Linked DNA regions of Drosophila melanogaster. The protein of the gene in region 3 interacts with the protein of the main gene of each other region in a pairwise test. Each region holds a gene or a part of one and is shown on either strand. Other genes may lie near its edges.

The links.
Region 1: the proteins of CG31441 (region 3) and Hex-A interact in a two-hybrid assay, tested with the Drosophila melanogaster proteins (one large-scale study listed by BioGRID).
Region 2: the proteins of CG31441 (region 3) and CG32767 interact in a two-hybrid assay, tested with the Drosophila melanogaster proteins (one large-scale study listed by BioGRID).
Region 4: the proteins of CG31441 (region 3) and Spt6 interact in a two-hybrid assay, tested with the Drosophila melanogaster proteins (one large-scale study listed by BioGRID).

Annotation. Positions count from the first base shown.
Region 1 is NC_004354.4:9,584,151-9,589,058, forward strand, and holds Hex-A (hexokinase A), read left to right. Parts: upstream 1-1,739; 5' UTR 1,740-2,068; coding exon 2,069-3,694; 3' UTR 3,695-4,251; downstream 4,252-4,908.
Region 2 is NC_004354.4:5,079,975-5,085,290, reverse strand, and holds the start of CG32767 (uncharacterized protein), read left to right. Parts: upstream 1-2,265; 5' UTR 2,266-2,874; intron 2,875-3,051; 5' UTR 3,052-3,805; intron 3,806-4,033; 5' UTR 4,034-4,110; intron 4,111-4,175; 5' UTR 4,176-4,217; coding exon 4,218-5,316.
Region 3 is NT_033777.3:11,234,298-11,238,249, forward strand, and holds CG31441 (uncharacterized protein), read left to right. Parts: upstream 1-1,988; 5' UTR 1,989-2,059; coding exon 2,060-2,191; coding exon of another isoform or gene 2,192-2,195; intron 2,196-2,252; coding exon 2,253-3,043; intron 3,044-3,102; coding exon 3,103-3,205; 3' UTR 3,206-3,327; downstream 3,328-3,952. Other genes in the region: Arfip (arfaptin), read right to left, coding at 1-147, 211-433; CG17721 (uncharacterized protein), read left to right, coding at 1,112-1,245, 1,304-1,619; CG31388 (uncharacterized protein), read left to right, coding at 3,572-3,688, 3,756-3,952.
Region 4 is NC_004354.4:6,266,134-6,274,129, reverse strand, and holds the start of Spt6 (Spt6), read right to left. Parts: upstream 6,334-7,996; 5' UTR 6,224-6,333; coding exon 6,185-6,223; intron 6,024-6,184; coding exon 5,939-6,023; intron 5,364-5,938; coding exon 5,158-5,363; intron 5,006-5,157; coding exon 4,886-5,005; intron 4,817-4,885; coding exon 4,665-4,816; intron 4,600-4,664; coding exon 1-4,599. Other genes in the region: schlank, read left to right, coding at 7,539-7,723. UniProt on the Drosophila melanogaster protein: Histone H3-H4 chaperone that plays a role in maintenance of chromatin structure during RNA polymerase II transcription elongation.

The DNA.
Region 1 (4,908 bases), on a different chromosome or scaffold from region 3:
TACATACGTTCGTAAGCCTGTATGTTCACATGCACTCTCACTTGTAGTTGGAAACGCTCTACTCGTTGTTGTTGCAATTACGGACGAGCCTCTTTGGAAAAAATGCTGGAAAACAAAAAAGATCACAAGACATAAACAACAATGCAAAAACGCAGCACCGAATGGAAATTGCACATGAAATCTAGCTGCAAAAATATGAAACAACAAAATTCCATTGAATGGAGAGCCAGAAAGAGCGAAGTAGAGGGGAAGAGAGTGAGAGAAGGAGGGAGCGGAACTTCAAACTGGGCGGCACGTACACACACAAAAGAGGGCAGGGCGGGGAGACGAGCCCCACGGACACTGAACAAAAATACATACAAATGCAAAGATATATGTATTTGAGGATGTTGACGCGTCGCTAGAACTTGAGAATTCCAAGAAGCGGTAAAAACGGGTGAGACGATGATGGTAGGGGAGTTGGGGAGGGGAAGGTAGCTGTCAACAGCTACGCAAACTTGCTCTCCCATTTTTCTGGGTAAACCTTGCTCTTTCTCATCTAAAACGGCATTGTTATACTAACACCGATGCCGAGGGAGAGCGAGATCGCTGAGAGTGGGAAAGCGGGTGGTGGGGCCCGGCGCCGAACAGGGGGTTCAAAGAACGAAGCCAATACGCAGGCAGCAACGAAAAATCCTATTGGCTACTTTTAAATGCGCTACCGACATTAAATGGATATAAATACATGTGTCTCTATCAAATAAAAAAATTTTGCGTACTAACTGGCGACCCACAATGGTAAATATAGTACAGGTGCTTACCTGTACCTGTGGTCTTACTTTTGACCTTCTTCCTTACACAATTTATAATAAAGGCAGTCTACATGTTTAGCTTGAGCTTAATACAAAAGAGATAATTTATTGGGCCTAGGTGGCGTATGAGTAATAAACGTATACTGAATATTTTCTAATAACTTGTTTGCAAAATCAGAAAACTGTTTTTTCTTATATATTTATATAATATATAATACATTTCTGTGCCACAGAAATTCCATTGCACCCCACAGTTTGTAGGGTGTCAATATCAGCCAAATTGCTGACGACGACAAAAGGCGGCTCTCTCATAAGCGGAAGCAAAAAGAGAGAGCGTCGCCGCCAGGCCCTTGTAGTTCCGCGTTTATGGCACGATAAGAACGAGATATTTCTTAAAAATGTTGTAAATTAGTTAGTTAATAGCGTAATTAATATCAAAACAAATTTAACACAGTGATAATAGGCGACCAATTTAATTTGTCAAAGAAATGCAAAACCATTAACCATTAACATTAATTAAACCATTAACATCTTAAGAAAATAATTTTTTTCCTTGAAGAGAAAAGCCTGAAATATATTGACTATATTTGAGATGACAAATTAAAATGTTTATCAAATGCGTGATCACGATATTGCTTACGCGACGCATAAGGGTTTCCGCATAAACACGCGTTTGACTCATTCTCATTCATAGCCACTCTCTCGCCCCCTCTCTCACGCGCACCCTATCAATATGCCATTTGTGGACCCCTCAGCGTCGCACATATACACGCCATATCTCCAACCATGCCGCCCCAAAACCGATTTTCAGTTTTTGACCTTCAAGGTTCCTTCACGGCGAGCGAGAGAGAGAGAGAGTGAGAGTGTGAGCGCGGCTCGCAGTCGCGGTCGGCGCCGGCAGCGCAGCAGCAGCGACAGCGAAAAGTGAGCACCAGTCGGCGAGTGAATTTAATTTCGTAAAAAACGTTCCGAGCGTTTGGACGCGTGCAGCGGACGAAAATAAAACACGGCGAGAGCGAGAATCGTGTGTGTGGACACTCAAAGACTCAAAATTGAAACCAACTCGAAAAGGTTGCACTGCAAATGCCCAAGTAGAAAAGCCAACGCGAGTGTGCACATCGAATACGAAAATTGTAAACGTTTTTTTTTTGCCGTGTGAGTGCAAGCGCATAAGATCGAAGAAAAACAGCCAGAGCAAGAAAGAACCGAAAAAAGGCAGAGAGAATCAAAAAAGAAAAAAGGAAAAAAAAAACAAGCAGGAAAACACCAACATAATAATGGATCGGGAGCTGAACGGGGCGATGAAGAGCGTGTCCATAAATAGCGCCCAACTGAATGGTCACAATAACGGTGGCGGGCTAGATGAAACGGACCGCGTGGGCGTGGCACAGGGGGCGGCACTGAGTGCAACAGAGAAAATTACAACAACGACGGCGGCAGCTACAAAATCAGCGACAGCGACCACAAATGCAACCACAGCAACAGCCACAACCACAAATCTTACAACTCACAGCCCGCAGCAAATTGCACTCTTATCCGCTGCAGAGAAAAGTAAGATGGTGCACGAGTTATGTCAGCAGCTGCTTCTAACGGACGAACAGGTGCAGGAGCTGTGCTACCGCATCCTGCACGAGCTGCGCCGCGGCCTGGCCAAGGATACACATCCCAAGGCGAATGTCAAGTGCTTCGTAACGTATGTGCAGGATCTGCCCAATGGCAATGAGCGTGGCAAGTTCTTGGCCTTGGATCTGGGTGGCACCAACTTCCGGGTGCTGCTCATCCATCTGCAGGAGAACAACGATTTTCAAATGGAGTCCCGCATCTATGCCATACCGCAGCACATTATGATTGGATCGGGTACACAGCTATTCGATCACATCGCCGAATGTCTGTCCAACTTTATGGCCGAGCACAATGTGTACAAGGAGCGTTTGCCACTCGGTTTCACCTTCTCGTTCCCGCTGCGCCAATTGGGTCTGACCAAGGGCCTGCTGGAGACCTGGACCAAGGGCTTCAACTGCGCTGGCGTCGTCAACGAGGATGTTGTCCAGTTGCTAAAGGATGCCATCGCACGGCGCGGCGATGTCCAGATCGATGTGTGTGCCATACTCAATGACACCACTGGCACGCTGATGAGCTGCGCCTGGAAGAATCACAACTGCAAGATCGGTCTGATTGTCGGCACCGGTGCAAATGCCTGCTATATGGAGCGTGTGGAGGAGGCGGAGCTCTTCGCCGCCGAGGATCCGCGCAAGAAGCACGTCCTGATCAACACGGAATGGGGCGCATTCGGCGACAATGGCGCACTGGACTTTGTGCGCACCGAATTCGATCGGGACATCGATGTGCACAGCATCAATCCGGGCAAGCAGACGTTCGAGAAGATGATATCGGGCATGTATATGGGCGAGCTGGTGCGTCTGGTGCTGGTGAAGATGACCCAGGCGGGTATACTCTTCAATGGACAGGATTCCGAAGTGCTAAACACCCGCGGACTGTTCTTCACCAAGTATGTGAGCGAAATTGAAGCTGACGAGCCAGGCAACTTCACCAATTGCCGCCTGGTGCTGGAGGAGCTCGGTCTGACCAATGCCACCGACGGGGACTGCGCCAATGTGCGGTACATCTGCGAGTGCGTCTCGAAACGGGCTGCCCACCTGGTGTCCGCCGGCATTGCCACGCTGATCAACAAAATGGACGAGCCAACGGTGACGGTGGGCGTCGATGGCAGTGTGTACCGCTTCCATCCCAAGTTCCATAACCTGATGGTCGAGAAGATCTCGCAGCTGATCAAGCCGGGCATCACCTTCGATCTGATGCTGTCCGAGGACGGTTCCGGTCGTGGAGCTGCCCTGGTGGCGGCCGTCGCCTGTCGCGAAGACATACTCAATGGCAAGAAGTAGGATGGATAGGGAGCTGGAGCTGGATCAGGAACCAGGAGGAGGAGCCGCTGGAGCAGCTGGAGCAGTCCTAAGAGATACAGCAACACACCCACACAACCACAAAAACAGCAGAGCAAATGAGAAATACCTAGTAAACGGCCACGGTGGCGTATGCGTAATAATTACAGTAGAGCCACGCTAACTCACAAAAGCCCTATAGCCAAACGATATGAAAAAATGAAGCTGCCACGACGAAAAGTAATCGAAAAGCCCACGAAAAACTTATATGTGCATACGTAGGGCATTTGTGAGTTGGCGCGACTTGGCTTTAGTATTTTAATTAGGCAAAAACCAGGTTTTTCACTACAAACACAAGCGTAACAGAAACCCCCCCACTAAGAGACAGAAGATCTGTGGCATTCTATCTCTTTCTCTCCTAGTAAAAGAAAACAAAGAAGAAGAAAAAACACTATGCTTAATGATTATGGATCGATTTTCGATTTTTGTTGAAAATTTGTTATGCTATTATATATATATATATTTTACAAGAAAACATAATATACACACACTAAAAACATAATGTATATGTTTGCGTATATATAGTACAATTTGTGAAGCGAATTTCTTTTCGATTTCGATTGAAACAACAAATTTTTTTTGGTAATTCCCTGCCCAAAAGACCCCTGAAACCCCCCTAAAAAAACGGAGATACTTAAGAGCAAGTGAGAAAAGAAACTGTTATACTACTGTGCTACAAGCATTCTAGCATATCCTGCAGGACAACGGAAAGAGAAACTGTAAAACCGCACATTGTTAAAGCAAAAACGAAAACGAAAAAAGCAACAAAAAACAAGCCGCTAGAGAAGAGACAGAAACAGAGGGATAGAAAGGAAGAGAGCGAGAGAGAGCGAGCGAGAGAAAGAGAGAGAGGATTACTAGGTAATGCTACGGTGTCCTTTCTGTAATTGTAAATGTTTATATAGAACCTATTACGAAGCGTTATATGATAATACTGCATACATATATATAAATATAAATATGATATATTTAGCCACTATATTACTGATTTTTTTTTTTGTAATGTATTGCTTGTCTTTGTTTAGTGAATTTGTTTGTTGTTAACACTTAAGCAGGTAAACTCTAAACAAAAATAAACTGTTTTTTTTTTTCCTTTTGATATAGAAACGCACTTTGTGAGCTATTATTTATGTAATTGTACATTTGACCTAGTTTAG
Region 2 (5,316 bases), on a different chromosome or scaffold from region 3:
GTTAAGAACAGCTGATAGAAGGGAAATTTTGGTTTCCTATTGCCGGGCGCGTGTATTACAGTTTTTCGAAATTTTACAACTGTTCGAAAAGTGATGTGAATGTGAAAAAATAAGCTAGTGAACAAGAGAATACTGTTTTGAATGGTTCTTTGTCGATTCTAAATGAATGTAAAATGATATTATTTCATCGCATGACAGAACCAAGCATTGTAAAATTCATATAACATCAGCTACAATGCGAATTACTTTTACATTTTTGCCAACGTCAATTGTCAAGTTATTTAATTGTTCGAATAGACTGATTCAGGTTAATTGAAAAACGGCTATAAAACGGCGGCATTTCGTGTTTCTGTGTATAAAAAACCGGTAAAAATTCAAAAACCCAGTTTCAGTGTGCCCAGACATCAAGTAAGTATTTTAGTATTTTCAGTTTTAGTTTTAGGTTTTAAATATTTGGCAATTGCACCTCCTTTCGATGTATCGATGTACCTACAAAGTATCGATAGTGACTGTTGCCAGTATCGCTTTAGTTATTCCATCTCTAAGCATCAGGCTTTGGTCACATTACCAACCTTTCATAAAAAATAAAAAACAAAACAAAAAGGCGATAAAACGCAATTAAAGCAACTGTAAAAAACATAACAAACTAAAACCACTGATAAACTAAACCAACTGCATTGCACACACCCCGCAAACAAACGAAAATGTGATGTTAAGTGTGAGTAAAAACCGATGGAAAAGCGAAAGGAGTGTGCGTGTCGAGCATGTGCGAGTGTGTGTGTGTGCGTGCGCGTGAAGTGCGAATAATGTGTGATGGAGAGAGGGCAAGAGAGCGGCGCCAGCTAAAAAATATAAACAATTAAATAAATATGTAAATTTATATATATGGATGTATGGCATGGAAGTAGTTATCCACTAGTTACGAAAAGAGAAAAACAAAAGAACTAGTTCTCTTTTCTTTGAGTGTGCGTGTGTGGTTGTGTGGGGGAGAGGATTCCAGCTGCCTTTGTGTGTGAATTTCATTTAGTTTTTTTTTATCTGCTATTATTTTGTTGTGCGGATATTTTTTAACCCTTGTTAGCCCTTTATTTTGCTGATGTTTGCGTTAGTGTGTGTGTGTGTGCTTTCAACCCCCAAAAACTTCACCACCCGTCGCCGCCCGGCGAAAAATCACTGAGCAATAAAACCACCCACTACCCACCAAATGAAAAGACCAAAAAAAAAACGAAGCGAATTATTTCCCACTGAAAATTTTTTTCTTCCAAGGTGATGATGTTTTCTTCCTCTTGCTCCTCATCTTTCCAGGAGCAGCACTCGAAAAAAGGGAGAAGCAAGATGGAGAAGGAGAGTGAGTGAGTGAGAGAGAGCACAATTCAGAAACTGTCGAAATAAAACGGCTTCTCCACCTCTCACGCCTTTTGTCGCCCCCCGCTGCGGGCCCCATCGCACAGTGGGACGCGCAGACTAGGTGTTCTAACAAATTTCGAATTTTCACGCTCCAGTGAACTCATAGGCACTAAATTAATGTTTTAAATGTAATATTAATGAGTTTGTTGTTTTATTATCACCTATTTCGCTCCACTGTGCAACGTATGACGCGCTAGCGTCCCCTCTTTCGCTCTCGCGCAATTCGACCATTTTCCATCCTTCTCGCTCACGCCGACTGCCTTTTGGCGTATTTCTTTTGTGCCTATGTATTTCCGCTTGTTAGGTCAGCTCTCCCCCTGCTCCCCCGCCCAACAACGTCCTCTTTTTGTGCTCCCTTTTTGGGCTCCAAGTTCTGGCAGTCCTTTTAGGAACAGTTGTGGCCGAGAGAATAGGGAATTCGTTAAGACGGCCTTCTTTTGAAAGTAGATGCTCGCTTGTAGTATGATCTTAAAATGCGTGTACTAAGCCCCTATTAAATTAATAATAATAATTAAATGTTGTTTTTCATTTCTTATTTAAAAATAATCTGTTTAAGGAAAAATTAATAGATGTTGAGTAAGATGTACCTGATAATACTATTTCATTGACCCCTGCTGTATATTTTGGTTTTGTGTTGTGAGTGAGAACGAAGTTGTGTGGGTGTTTAAAAAGGGTAAGAAAGGCAAAAAAAAAGGCGAAACGGAGTAGGACAAGAACCAAAAAGAAAAACGAAATAAAAGTAACGTTGTTTTGTGTGCGGGCCAACCGAAAACCAATTAACTTTTTGAATATTGCACGAAATTGCGCGCCATCGCCCGTTCGTTTACCAACACTGACCGCCGAATGCAACCCTGCGCAACACTAACTCACACACACGAGCGTAGTAAGACCCAGGGAGGCAAAAATTCACACACAAGCAAATATTTTTTTGTTATTATTGAACAGTGTGGAAGAACAGCGCGAAAGGGAAAAACGAGCTTGCGGATGTGAAAAGTAAAGCGGGTGTGTGGAAAACGGCAACAACAAAAGGCGAACGGGGGAAAGCCAAAGAAAAACTACTCGCGGGGGAGCAAAAATCGGCTGGGAAACACGGACGAAGAAGAAGAAGAATAGGAATCAGAGTAGGAGAGCAAGCAGCAGCAGAAGAAGAAGAAGCAGCGCAGCCGCTAATTGTCTCGTCGTTCGTTGTTGTTGCTGCCTTGCAAAAAAAAAAACGAAACCGAAAAAGAAATGGCAAAAAAATAACGCAAACAAATTCAATAAAACGAACTAAACAATTAGCAAGTTAATAAACGCAACATAAAACCAAAGGAACGAACAGCAGTGGCAAAAGAAAAAGGCAAAAGAAGAACAATCGAAAAGGTCAAAAAGTGTGAGCAAGGGAGAGGAGAGACTTCCCCAAAAAAAACCGAAAGAAAAATGGAGCAAAAGTGAAAAACCTGTGAATGTGTGTGTGTGTGAGAGATGGTGAGAGAGAGAGTGGGGGGAAAAGCTAAAATTAATTTTTTGTTTTTATTTCCAAGGCGCGCACTGGTGTGTGTGTGTGAGTGTGGGTGGAAAATCGGATTTCGTAAAACGCATTTAATTGTTAACAGCAGCAAAAACGTGTATAATTTACCTGATTTTTCTACATCTCACTTACAGTTAGTAATCAAATTGCACAAAATGCGAAAGAGGAGAGCAGATCAATAATAATAATAATAACAAAAAGGAAAGGAGCAAATGTAACGACTTCTGTGTGTGTGTGTGCGTGCGTGAAGCAAACAACAAAAAACAGCGCAGAAACATTTTTAACTAAAATGTGGAAAGCAAGCAAGGAAACAACAAAAGCTAAAACAACAACGACAGCCAGGAGCAGCGCAGCCAGCAGCGACGTCGACGCCAGCGTCGCCGCATGGAAAGCACAGAAAACCGCATGACAAGGAAATGGAAAATTTTTGTGCAGCCCAAAAAACCAAATGTGAACATAAAGGAAAGGCCGACAGCGAGGCGTTGAGCAAACGAAAAACAAAACAAAATACAACAAAAATACAAGAACGTGTGTGTGTGTGCGTGTGTGTGTGTTTTCCAATCGTATAATCGAAGAATAATAGTAATAATAATACGAGTCAAGGAAGAAGCGGCATTCGAAAGAGAACAGAATAAACGGAGGAAGAAACAGATGTAATAACTAAAGCAGAAGAAGAAGCCCATCAGCAAATCTATGAGAAGAAGAAGAAGGCGAAGAGGAAGCGGCAACTTGAAAAATATACAACAATTATTAATTATGGCAGCTTCGACAAACAAAATTCTGTAGAAGAGGAAACAACAGACGCCCAAAGGCAAGATTTTTAAATAGGGAGTAGTAACATAAAAGAAAACTTTGGCAGCCAAAACGACAAGAAACAAACAAAAAATTGTAAGTAACAACAAGCCCTGCTTTTTCCAAACAAAAACTAGTTCGTTTCGATGAAATTATCACTTAATCACCAAAGTTTTGTATAGTTGTTCCTCTCAGTACTGAAAGCATTTCGCTTTCATCTAGTTTTATTTAATAACCCGTACTTTAAGACATCAGAAACTCGAATGGACTTAACTTGTTTGTTAGATTTTGTGGCAGAGTTCATAATATTGTTCTATTTCTCAGGCTAACAATATATTCAACATAGCTGGAGGTTTACGCCAAACACAGGCGTCGCATCCCCAACAGCTCAAGAGAAGAACGTAAGTTATTGCCCACCAGCCATGGCCGAATGTGAGTCTAATCCAAATGTTTGTACGATTTGCAGATACAAATAAGGGAAATATACATCAATTAGTATATCGCTGCCATGGCCAGCAGCGCGACGAACGTCGACGGCGGCAGCGGGACGTCGACGGCGCTGCCATCGCTCTTCCCCGCCGTTGGCGCCGCTGCCGGTGTCAAAGATATGGACGGATTAATGGCCATTAACGATAGCGCCCTATCGCAACAGATCGAATTTATACTGCAGGATGCTCCCATGGAGCAGGACGACGATCCTCACCAGCATACGCATGTGCATCACCATCATCACTCGCAGCATCATCCTCACTCGCATTCGCATCAGCAGCAACAGCAGCAGCATCTTCAGCAGCAACAGCAGCAGCAGCAACACCATCATCCGCATCATCATCTGAAGCTGGACAACAGCAGCAACAACCACCCACCGACCGCAGCAGCAGCCGCAGCTGCCGTAGCAGTAGCAGCAACAACTGCAGCAACAGCAGCCGCAGCAACCAACAACAGCGCTTCCTTTAGCAGCAACAGCAGCAGTAGCAATAGCAACAACAGCAATCACTTGGACAACCAGCAACAGTTGCTCATTCAGCAGCAGCAGCAACAGCAGCAACATCATCTGCTAAACGGACGCCGCATCATAATCCAGGCCACGGGTAACTCGTCCGTTTTAGCCGCCAGCGATATCAAGGAGGAGGACGAGGAGGAGGAAGATCCCGAGCTGAACGATGAGAATCTGCAGGATATCGAAGAGGAGGCTCAGGCAGCCGAGGCCGATGAGGAGCCCGAAACCACCGCGCATTTGTCCACGCAAGTTAAGCTGGAGCTGGAAGAGGATGATGAAATGCCCGACGAGGAGGAGGAAGAGGATGAGGACGATGACGAGGAGCTGCAGCACGGCCAGCTGGAGTACCAAATTAGTGCGGCAACGCAAACAGCTGGAGCAGCGACGAGTAGTGCCGCTGGTGGCGCCGCAACAGCCGGCGGAGGATCACAGCAATTGGTACAACTGCCCGCCGGTAGTATTGTGAGCACAACCACCCACCGATTGTCGGTGCCCGTGACCGAGGCGGCTCTTGTGCAGCTGCAACGACGACCTGTCTACATAAGCAATGCTGTTGGCGGCCTAACGGCCGGAGCAACCTATGTGAGAATGCCGGCGGCCGCTGTGA
Region 3 (3,952 bases):
TACACTTGTACGTCGATATACTCCAGTTCTTGAGACTGTCGATCTTGGAGGCGCTAGTGCGTATAATGCTGCCGCTCCCGCTGTCCGTGGGGCTCAGGATGCCGTTACCGGATGGTGGACTACTGGGCGACATGGGTGTGGTGGGTGCTGCACGAAAAGATCGATGCTGAGTCAGTTGGTCGCTAAATCGAGGACTCGTAAATAGTTCACCTGAATGGTTTCTTAGTGGCAGGCTGCTGGGGGCGCCAAAGGGGCCGCCGACACCAACTCCAACGTTGCCGCCACCACCTCCTCCGCCGGCGATGCTGTGGCTGCTGGCGCTTCCAAGGATCCCGCTGCCGCCTTCGGTGCCCGTGTGCACCGCTCCGCAGCTGTCGTTCAGCGAGGGCGCATCCTTCAGCATTTCGTGAATGCTGCGCTCGCGGTCCGTCATAGCTATGGCCGTCGTTAAGTTAACCGCCCGTCTCACCGAGTAATTGCCAGCGGAAAATCCTCCTGTCTGCCCGTTTTGTGTGGGGGTGTGCCCGATTAGGTGTCTGTGTGTGTGTTTCTCGGGCAACGGCGCTGGAGGTTTCACTTCGATTTCCACGCCGAAATCGATGGCGCACGCTGGGCGAGTCGAGACTTTAGTAACCCCTGCCTGGACTCGTCAAAATTCTCAAATCCCTAAAATTCCGCATAAAGTTCATCAAACTGTGTTCACGAACTGAAAATCGGTGTGACTGTGCGCGAGTAGGTGGTTAAATGCCACACTTGGACTGCTTGGATACCGGCTGTGCGACACGGTATTTTAAAGGCGGAACGGTGGAGTTTGGAACACGGGGAAGTCCTGTCCTGCAGGTCAAGTCGGTGGGACGTGGTTTGGCGGGACAGTGACTGCTGCGAGGACTCTCCTCTGCGGCACCAGCATTAATTTTTAATTCATTTTCATATATATTCTTGATCATGATCAATAGGCCAGTTGATGTGGCCAAGCAATTCTATTTGGATTTTCAGTGCCGACCAGTTGCGGTCCCACTAAAGTGGAAATTTGATTTAATTTTTGGGGATTTCATGGAAAATCTCTACTTATTTCTATTTCCACGTTACTTAGGCCAATAGCCAGCGGAAAATGGTCTACGTGAATCTAATAATAGGCTTGGGCCTGGTGTCCGTTGCCGCTTTCGCCTATTTCAATTGGCATAACGACCGCAGTTCGCCTTACTCCAGGTGGGTGCTATTAAATGAGCGTCGAATCGTGGGCAGGTTGGTGCCTTGCGATTCAAAGCTAAAATGTTGGCTTAAATCCCTTGTTTCATTGCAGGTCGCCGAATGGCAGGTGCACCTTTTGCCAGTATGAACTGAGTGATGACGACCGGCGCCGCATGAGGTGTGGACATGCCATGCACAATCTCTGCTACTTGGTGTTTCGCTATTCCCATAGAAAGTGCCTCGAGTGCGATAAGGTGGTTAATGTCAATATAGCCGGTGACTTGTGCACGATTTGTTTAGATCCCCTAAGTGTTTACACCATGGTGTATCTGCGCTGCAGCCACGCCTTGCATGAGAAGTGCCTCCACCAGTACCAGGCTAATGGTGGCCGCCACTGTCCGGTCTGCAGAATGGGAATTAAGGAGTAGGTATCACCTAGTGATCATGCAGCCAGGCAAAGCCATATATCAGCATAAGCGTGCACTTAATGCAAGGCTCAACGAATTTTATATATAACATTAAGTCGAGAGCAAAGAAGTCTGATTAAGATTTTAGTTCTGAAACGAATAAAAGTTAGATTTCTTAAAAGATGCCGATTTCAACCAAATTGTTGTTTAAAATGAAAGAAAAGTATTGGATGCGTCTATGCTTTTTCAAAAAAAAAAAAAATAATACAATTTTATATTTTTGTTTTGAATTGTTCAAATATCGTTTAGCCAGTGTGTACACACCACGCACATGCACTTAGTAAACAGACAACAGCTGATGTGCATCTTCATTATCTCGCTTGCCATTCACTTGAATGTAATGCATCACAATAATGTTGAGTTTTAAAAAACCTTTTTAAATATCGTTTGGTTTGCTCAAAATGTCTGAGTTGCGATCGATTTGCCGAACTTGTGGCAAAAATGTGACCAATTTGCAGGGTCGGGCTACCAAACTGTTCAACAAAAGCAACTATCACTTTATTAGTATACTGGAAAATATCACCGATATGTATGTATGTAAGTGAATAAAACTAAAGTATGCTGTCTATTTAATTGATTTAAATGATTGTTTAGCTCGAATTTGACACCACTCTGCCACATCTAATTTGCCAATGTTGCAAAGTGCAGCTGGACAGGATCTTAACATTTCGCAATAAGTGCTTGGAGGTCCACAAGTCTTTTATGGCCGCTAACAGGAAACTTTTGCGAAAAAAGGCGATAGTTGATGAGGAACTCGATAAACCGGATGTTGAGAAGCTACAGCAGGATTTGTGGGACCACACGGATCAGGAAATGTGTGTAGCAATGGCAGATACAGCTGGGCTTCTGCGGGAAGATCACAATGATAATGAGAAGGCGAAGGACGCAGAAGATGCGACTCAGAATGAGAAGAATCAGGAGGAACAAGTACAAGTACAAACAGAGGAGGTGGAGCACTGTCAAGAGCAGCTCCATAACATGTCCATCATCTCGAAGGGAGTAAGTGCCCGTGTCCCCAAGCGTACGAAGCGCAACTCCAAGTCCTGGTTCTGTGACCAGTGCGGCGGCGTCTTCAAGTCCTCTACCTACCTCAAACTGCACCTGCAGCGACACAGCGGTCACAAACCGTTCGCGTGCGACATCTGCCAGGCCAAGTACTACACGGATAACGAGATGCGGCGCCACAGAATCCTTCACACGGACGCCAGACCGTACGCTTGTCGGTTCTGTAGCAAGACCTACCGAGGATGCAGCAGTAAAGTGGTCCACGAGCGGACCCACACCAACGAGCGTCCCTTTCAGTGCCAGCATTGCGACAAGGCCTTCACCTCCACGTCGACGCGTCAAAAACATGAGATGCTGCACACTAATCAGCGGAAGTACCAGTAAGTAGGAGCACTAGCTGTCCTCCGTAAAATATGTGCAAACTGACTGTATTTTCCAGCTGCGAGATCTGTGACCAGTGGTTCCTGCGCTCATCCCATTTGACCCTACATCAAAGCACTAAATTACACCAGCGAAGAGCTGAAAGTGCTAGGATTGTCTAGAATTCATGTGGACTGCTGAAAGTACAAGTTTATTATAAGATTCCTAAATTGAACAAATTGATTCTATTTTTGATTTGATGGTTCTAAAAGAAGAAATAATCAAAATGTACACCTGTGACATCAAAGGTTTTCGACTTTTCGCTCTGCAGATACAATGGTTTATTTCTTGAAAAAAACTTGTAACAACAAATTGAGATTTTGAAAATCGGCGGAATGGCCGCGTTGCTGGGCGAATGTCAATTCGAAATCGACTATGCGTGGGGCTGAGAAATGCGAATGCCGCTTTTCTTGTTCTTCCGTCCAAACAAACCGAAAAAGATACACTTCCAATCGATCGGGGTGCTGCGTTATCTCATTACACAAGCCATGAGGTACATTTGCAGGACCTGTTCTCGTATGGCTGATCCTGCGGTAGCCAAGAATCTCTTCGATCCATCGAGTTCTTCCGTTTTGCGTCAAATAGAGACTCTAACTAACTTGCAGGTGAGTGCGTTAGCGTTTTGCGAAAATAAAAACCGAATAAATGCCGCGATCTGTAATCACTTTGCAGCTAAAAGAGGACGGCAAGTTGCCCAGGTTCATGTGCCAGGACTGCCAGCACGACCTGCAGATTGCCATCGATTTCCGCCGCGTTTGCATCGAGGCCCAGGAGCTCCTTGAACTTCAGCTAAGGCAGGTGGAAAAGGAGGAGGAGGCGTTCGAGAGCCTGGCGGAGCAATGGCTGGATGATTGTCCGGATGAGTTGTC
Region 4 (7,996 bases), on a different chromosome or scaffold from region 3:
GGTCTGCGTCTTGCCCAGGCATCGTTGGCCAGCTGCCAGTCGAGGTTCTCTTTGGCACGTTGCTGGTGATGCGGCTGCATGCTGTAGGCATTGGAACCACCACCACCACCAACGCCGCCACCGCCTCCTCCTCCCATATCGTGATACCTGGGCGTGCTGCCCGTTCCGGAACTGCTGCCGTAGTGATGCCTCTGACTGCTCGATGATTGCGAGCTGGGACTGGGCACATTGTGACCATAGCGAGGCGTCTGTGAGGCATGCGGCGTGTAGGGCGTCATGAACGGAGTCTGTCCACTGGGCGTGTATGGCGTATTGATGGCGCCAAACGACGGCGTCGATGAGCTGCCATAGTGGGAGGAAGATACTCCAGCCCCTGGAGCAGAACTGCCCGACGTGCCGTAGCCAGTGATGGATTGCGTAATGGAGTAGGCGCTGGAACCGCCACCGCCGACGGCACTGCTGATGCCACTGCGCGGCGTTCCACCAGTCACGCTGCCAGTGACGCTGTAGGGCGCCTGGGGGCCCAAGGAGGTCTGGGATGACGACGAGATCGTCGGCGGCGGACGCATCAAGTGCAGTGGCGTTAAGTTGGACGCCGAGGCGCTGGCCGGCGTGGCCGTTGGATCCAGCCAGTGTTCCTTAAACCAACGCAGCAGACTGTTAACCGTATCGAAAATCTGGCCACGGAAACGATAGCCCTCCGGCATGACCGTCACATACTCGTGACGCACCTTCGTCTTGGGCAGATAGGACAGCAGGAACTTGCCCGGCATGGCGCGTGAGGCCGTAAAAAAGTAGTGTATCTTCTTCGGATCATTTGCCTTCTCCTCGCGCAGCAACTTTTCCATGACATCCCGTTCATTTTCATCGCCGGTCACCATGTTTGGCTTGTAGTACTTGTACTGTATCAGTTCGCGGGCAGCCAAGGCCATCGGCATGATGTGGCGGGCGATGATCTCGTCCAGATCCTCGAACTCCTCGGTGCCGATCCACAGACTTCTGCCCAGGCTGAAATCGTTCTCTTTACCCTCCTCGCGCACATCGATGTGCTGGAAGATGTCGTCGGCCACCTTCCAGGTGGCTGTCAGATGGTCCTTGGACTTGCTGCTCGGACGCAGGGCCACCTCGCCCTGATCGGCCTCCGCTAGCATGGCCACCACCTCCGCGTACGACTTGTTGAAGAAGCTGGGATGGGCGATTACGCGACGCGCGTAAATTTTGCGCTTCAGAGCCCTGGCCTTGGCATCGCTCACTTTCCGATTGTCCTGCTCCTCAGTCACATAATCATAGTAGTTGTCGCGACGCGGCCGCCACTCATTGTTCACATCCTTAAGATCAGCGGTCCTCGAAGAGCATTCGACTGAGAACCGGTCAATGTCTATCTTAATGATGCGAACATGAATCATCTGTGAGACGCGCACACGTTCTTCGGGATTGCGAACCTGTCTATCGGACAAGTTCTTGATGTGTATAAAGCCAGGCAGGCCGTTCTCCAGACGCACACGCACACCAGATGGCTGGCCAGGGCACGCGTTCGCGTCAAAGTGATTCCACACCTCGGACAGCTCTGGGAAGTCGTCCTTGTGGCAGAAGGGGCACTGCCAGCTTTCGTTGGAATCTAGACGCACCGGATTTGCGCTGTCTAGCTGATCGCCCTGCGGCCGACGGTAGGTGAAACCGGTGACCATGGCCGTGACGCACTTGCCCACATAAAACGAGTCGGGCGTCTCCTTGGTCAGCATATCGAAGAGCTCCTCCGCACTGGGCTTTGTGTACGGAGTGCGGTAGTCCTTGTACAGGCAGCTCAACTCGTTCCTTATGTCGTACAAGGTTATGCTCTTGCTGCCGAATCCCTGGCGCTCCAGTTCCACAGCGAATGCGTCCAGATCGAGATCCTTAAGGCGCTCTGGCGACTCGAGAATTTCCTCAAGGGCACCGGCCGGATTGGTCTCCTCGTCGTCGTACTCCATGGCATCGATGGCCATCTTTCTGGCCCACTCGTACGTTTCTGGATGCACACGCGACCCGTCCAGCACCTCGACATACGCCTCTGTGCTGTCGCCCAGCGATGAGGTATCGATCTTAATGAAACCGCTGCAGTTGATAAAGACCCTGGGCCCCAGATGACACACGGTGACCAGCTGGGTGCGGTTCTCCAACCGCTGGTTGCTCTGCTTAAGAAGTTTAAGTAAAGCCTGACCCTTGCGCGGACCCAAGCCACAGATGTACTGCAGCAGGTTGATGGTCCGTGAGTTCTGCACCATCAGGTTAATGTCCAGACCCACCTCGCTCGTTCGATTGATAAACTGCAGGCTGAGCTGCTCCAGCAGCTGTTCGCGCGGCACACGCTCCTGTAGCGGATGGTAGCGCAGGCAGAGAATCTCGTCGTCCGCATCACACAGCTGTGAGTATTCCACTAGCGGATCCTGCATCTTGCGGGCCAGCGAAGCAGCCTGCTTCAGCAGAGGAGGATACTCCTTAAAGTCAGACTCGCCCTTCTTCGAGTTGGCATAGATCTTGGCCAGCTCGTTGTCGATTATCTCCACCTCGATGGGCGGAAATTGTTCGGAGGTCTCGAGTTCATGCAGAATCTCCTTAATGTCTGCCTGGATGTTCTGGGCATCGCGCGATTCCGCTCCGATGACAACAATGTGTGGCTTCTTCATTTTGATAAAGTCACTCAGCTTTCGAAGGTCGGCCAACTTCTGGGCCTTCTCCTCAAGGTTGTAAGAATTCTTGCGCTTCAGAATGTTCGGCAGTCGCAGGTAGTCGGAGATGTCGCCCTCCACGGTAGTCACCGCACAGAAAGCGGCCACTGAGTGATCGGGATCGTAGGCCAGACCCAGCACCCGTATGCCCCTCAGCGTGCTCCACTCCTCGTAGCCAAAGTCGGGGGGCAGTTGCGGTTTATAGGGTGCCACCTTTAGCCACTTATACAGCTTACCCGTGCAGGAACGCAGCACAAATTGCTGAGCCTCCTCGTGCAGAGTTGAGCGCAGCTCCTTGATCAGATCCGGAATGACCCACTTCTGCAGCGCCAGCTGTACGCATTCCGCCCGCAGCTTATTCCACTCCTGCACGTGCTTGGCAAACTGATCCAGCTGGTACAGGGCCTTGGACTCTTCCACATAGTCACCGGGTGTTCCGTTGGCACACGCATTGCCCTCGAACTCCTCGAGGAACGTTATCTCCAGCAGCTTCTCCTCCTCGGCCATCATTAGCTTTATGAATTGATCGCCAAATAGATCGCTTACCGGCTTCTTGGCCACGTACTTCATCGAATACACCGGCGAATTCTCATCGATCAGCACCATGCCATTCTTGGTGGGCCGTATGTTAATCCTAGCTCTGTCGAAATACACCTCACGCATGGTCTTGCGCAGCAGAGGCTCTTGTGCCAGCTGTCGGGCCACAACGTATTTTGCGGCATGGATAACCTCATCCGTGGTCATGAAGCGCGGCGACAAATATTGCTTGGCCAGCTCTGTGGGACCGATGCTTTCCTGGGTGATCTCATTGCGCTGGTAATTGTCGCGCAGATTTTCGGCATACTGCTCCGGCGTGAGACCAAAGTGTTTGGCAAAGCCGCAGATGCCCGCCTTGCGGAATACCGCATAGGGACTGCTGTTGGACGCCTGCTTTAGTTGGTAATCGATCAGCTCGGGATCGTCATCGTCTTCCGGCTCTGGTACAACTATCGCCTCGGCCGCATCATCACCGTTCTCAGCGGCGGCTGCCTGGCGACGCGCCTTGGCCTCGCGACGCTCCTGTATAGCTTTTCGTCGCTGCTCCGCCTGCATGCGGGGCAGCTCATGCGAATAGTTCAGCAGAAAGTACATGTGCACGTCCTTTAGCTCCTCCATCGACTGTACGTCGGCGAGGCGCTCGAAATCGCTGTCCAGGATGAGGCGAACATCATCCGGTACGGGTTGATCTGTGTCGGCGCATAGCGTGTCCAGCTGGAACTGACGCATCTTTTCGAAAAGCACCTTTAGCTTGCGCTTTCGCTCGTTTAGCTGACACCAGATCCCATCGTAGTAGTAAACCTTCCAGAGATCGTCGATATTAAGCTCTGGCTTCACATACTCCTTGCGATAGAAGGCTATAAAGGGCACCTCCAACTGCTGGTTGCGTATAAATTCTAGCGTCTGCTTAATCTTGTTAACGGTTGTCGGTGGTTTGCGCATTTTCTCGCGGCTCTCCGGCTTTTCCTGTTCCGAAACAGTGTGCTTGCAGAAGGCATATTTGTAGATCCATTCAGCCTCGAGGTCCAGCTCGTCTGATCCCTCGGGCACCGGGGTTACGGGCACCTCTCGCAGCTGCATTCTTTCTGGGATGTCTGTCTTGCGAATCTCGTTGTCCATATCGGTGAAATGACCACGCTTGAGCTCGCTGGGCTCGTATATGTCGAAGATTGTCTTCTTGACCACCTTCTTTTTGAGCGCTTTCTTCTTCTTGACGCGCGTATCATCGCCGACGCCCAGATCCTCATCGTACTCATCTCCTTCCGAGTCATCTTCGTAGTCGTCTTCCTCGTACTTTGAGAAGTCGTCATAGTCGAAGTCTACGCCAAAGATGTCCTGACCCTCTTGAAGTGATCTGTGGTTGGATTATATTAATCGTATCTATTGATATCTAAACTTTATTATAGTTTGTATACTTACGCGTCTGTAAAGATGGGGCGCCGTTTCTTCTTCTTCTCGGCTATGGGACGCCCATTATCGTCCACAATGAAGTCATCTGCGTCCGACTCCGTATCCACGTCGTCGTAGTCGTCCGCCTCCCTGTGACTGCGCTCGCTGCGATGACCAATGCTCTGTAGGATCAGGGGCAATCAGTTGGACACTGTGCATTAATTGGTGGTCAGGGATTACTAGTGGCATACCTCATCGTTCTCGTCGAACAACTGCTCGGCAATCTGCTCACGCACCAGACCCTCGTCCACGTGCTGCTCCTCGCCATCGCTTTCGTTGTCGTGGATGCGACGCAGACGCTTGAACCGCTTCTACAAGGGAAAACATAATTTCAAACAATATATTTGAGGAGATAGAAGCCCCAATCCCTCAGCTATGTTATTCTTTGTTAGTTAAGCTTCGAAATTGGAGCCACAATTGGAGTTTAAAAAGTACATAGTTCTTCCCTGAAGGGAACACCTACCCGTCTCTCGACTTTGACGCCCAGATTCTCCTCGATAAGATCGTAGTCGTCGTCCTCCAGTCGATCGTCCAGATCGTCGTCCTCGTGCTTTTTGCGCTTCTTGCCGCTGCCGACGCCATCGGAATCGTAACCACTGCCATCGTCCTCCTCGATGGGATTGTCGTCGATCAGATCTTTGAGCTCTTCGCGCAGCCGTTCCTCGTCGTCTACGGAATAGGGCAATAAGAATATCGGTTTACCTTTTACCTTCATTGTAGCCGCAGATATACATATGCAACTGAAAACTGTTTTTAAAGCTTAAATTTAAGTAATTCACCCGGTTTTGAGAAAGACCTACATTTGATAAATTACCTAGATTTCGATATAGATAAGCCCTAACCATTGATTATTCCAGCTCCATCTATTGAACTAATTCTCCCTCCCTGCTTTGATTTGCAATTTCTTGGAATACGCCGCGTTCTTCCAATTCGCCGCACTTGTTTTATTTACTGGAACGAGCGCAGCTGTTTGTTGTTGTTGCTGCTGCTATTGCTACTGCTGATGCTGATATTTGATGGCCACGGTAGCACGGTAAAAACACAAGACCTAACCTCAAAGTTGTAAACAAAAGAAGTTGCAAGCGTGTGGCATTGGCCAGTTATAGGTGCCTTTATCCCGGATATGGACTGTTCCGATCGATGGATGGTGAGAGGGGTGAAAAACCCGCCAGAGATCGCCACATACGTATGTATGTATGTATGTATTTGTACGCGCCTTCAGCGGCTCCAGTGGAAAAACTCACCTTCTTCTTCTTCGCTACTATCGGAGACGGCCGCCTTCAGTTTCTTGAGTCTCTTGCGCTCGTTGACGTCCAATTCTTCCTCCTCCTGCGGGAAAAACGAAGAAAAGCCATTTGGTTAATTCAATATATATGTAGGCACATATGTATGTACACACACGCAAGGCGCAACGCACACCGCACACATAACGACGCACGAACGGTACGCGCTTCTAGAAATAGTGTTTTTGGGGTTCCGCAGACACCTACCTCCGATTCCTCGGCCTCGGAGTCCAGAAATTCGGCCATAATATAATGGAATAAAGCTTAACTTAATAATAAAGTGCGTATTAATGCAGAGAAACGAAGAGTTTGTGAGCGTTTCTTCCTCTTCTCTTCTTCTTTATTTCTCATCGCATTGCACAAAAGTTGGTATTAAAATACTAGCTAAATACTAAATACCACGAACAGTTTTCTACTGTTTACAGTACAGTTTGCTGTTAGCTTACAGCAGTGTTCTCGCTGCCAGCCCTGGTTTGCATTGCAGAACTACAGTGGATCCTTCCTATAACCTATGGTTAGTTATCCGTTTTCATGTGCTGACAACAATTGGACAAGAATTTTGCACACATACTTGTATTGATAAGCGGGAAAATTCCCCTATATGGGAACACACATATGCCCTTTGGTCTCAACGATGAAGTTTGCTAATTTCCATTATAGTCCATGGCATACTTCCTTTACATAGTTGACTTTTATGAGTTCTTACCGAAAAACCAACACTAATTGTAGCGCATAATAATTTCTCTCAAAAACTAGTGGTAAACGTAATGAACAATAATAATAATAAGCAATAAACAAAATTCGCAAACTTGTGAATTAAAAGTTCTTTAAAATTATTAGTGCATTTGGTATTTTGTGTAGCTTCTAAAGCCTTATTTTTGCTGGCTTTCCTTGTCTTCCCGTACACGGGCACACTTGTCGCGCTGCAGTTACATTTACTGCTCCGCCGTCTCTGGGCACACTGTATTGTTGTTGCTCGACGAGGAAATACTATTAGTATTTTTTTTCGTTCATCCTGAAAGTTTAAGTGGACGAAACGAGCGGCGGCCGACTCGACACCGAGCCGAAATTCAGAAAGTCTATTGCTTTGGTCGAGAACAGATTGTCAGGGAACTTCACTTCATTTACGCTCCCAAACAAACGGCAAAGGTAGCATTTCCAAAAACGAATTAAATCGAAATCCAAATAGAAATAGAAGTAGAATTAGAAAAGCCATAAGCGCAAGTTAACGAGACAAGACAACAACAATTCGATTCGGCGGTTTTTGTTTTTTTGCCAGTGTGTGTTTGTGCTACGCTGTGAGTGTGCATTAGTGTCCGGTGCTCCTGTTGTTGTTCTTGTTGCTGTTGTTGTCGCTTATTGTTGTTCTTGCTGTTATTGTTGCTGTTGTTCGCAAGGCACAATAACACAGGCTCATACAATTGCGAATATTTAGAAAAAGCAAAGCATATACATATGTGACAACAAACGCCAAGGAAAAACTGGAAAGCTAAGCAAAGGAAAACCAAGAAAAAGAAAACAAACAATTGAGAAATTAAGAAGCGGCAACTGAAGCAGCAACATGGACATATTGAATGAGTTCAGCAATGTATTCTGGAGTACGCACATTTGGCTGCCGCCGAACACAACCTGGGCGGACATTGCGCCCGGCTCGCGTCCAGATGTGGTGCACGCCAACTACAAGGACCTCATATGGCCCATTCCATTCGCCGCTGTTGTCATGCTGGTCCGCTACACGCTGGAGCGGTAAGTTTTCCACGTCCATTTTCCCCCCTCCGCACTCTTCCCAACCAACTGACTGACTCCCTTTCCATTCTCGCCATTCCCGGCAACATGATTCCATTCCGCCTCTTTCTCTAACCCCATTCATACGGCTTTCCCTCGCTCTCTCCCGCTCTTTCTCGCTCTCCTTACCATTGAGTAAGCCCACCGCCCCACGTTTGTTGCACCATGTACAGTAAACTTTATTCATAATTCCTTCTTTTCTCCATTTCATTTCATTTTTTTTTTATCGACAAA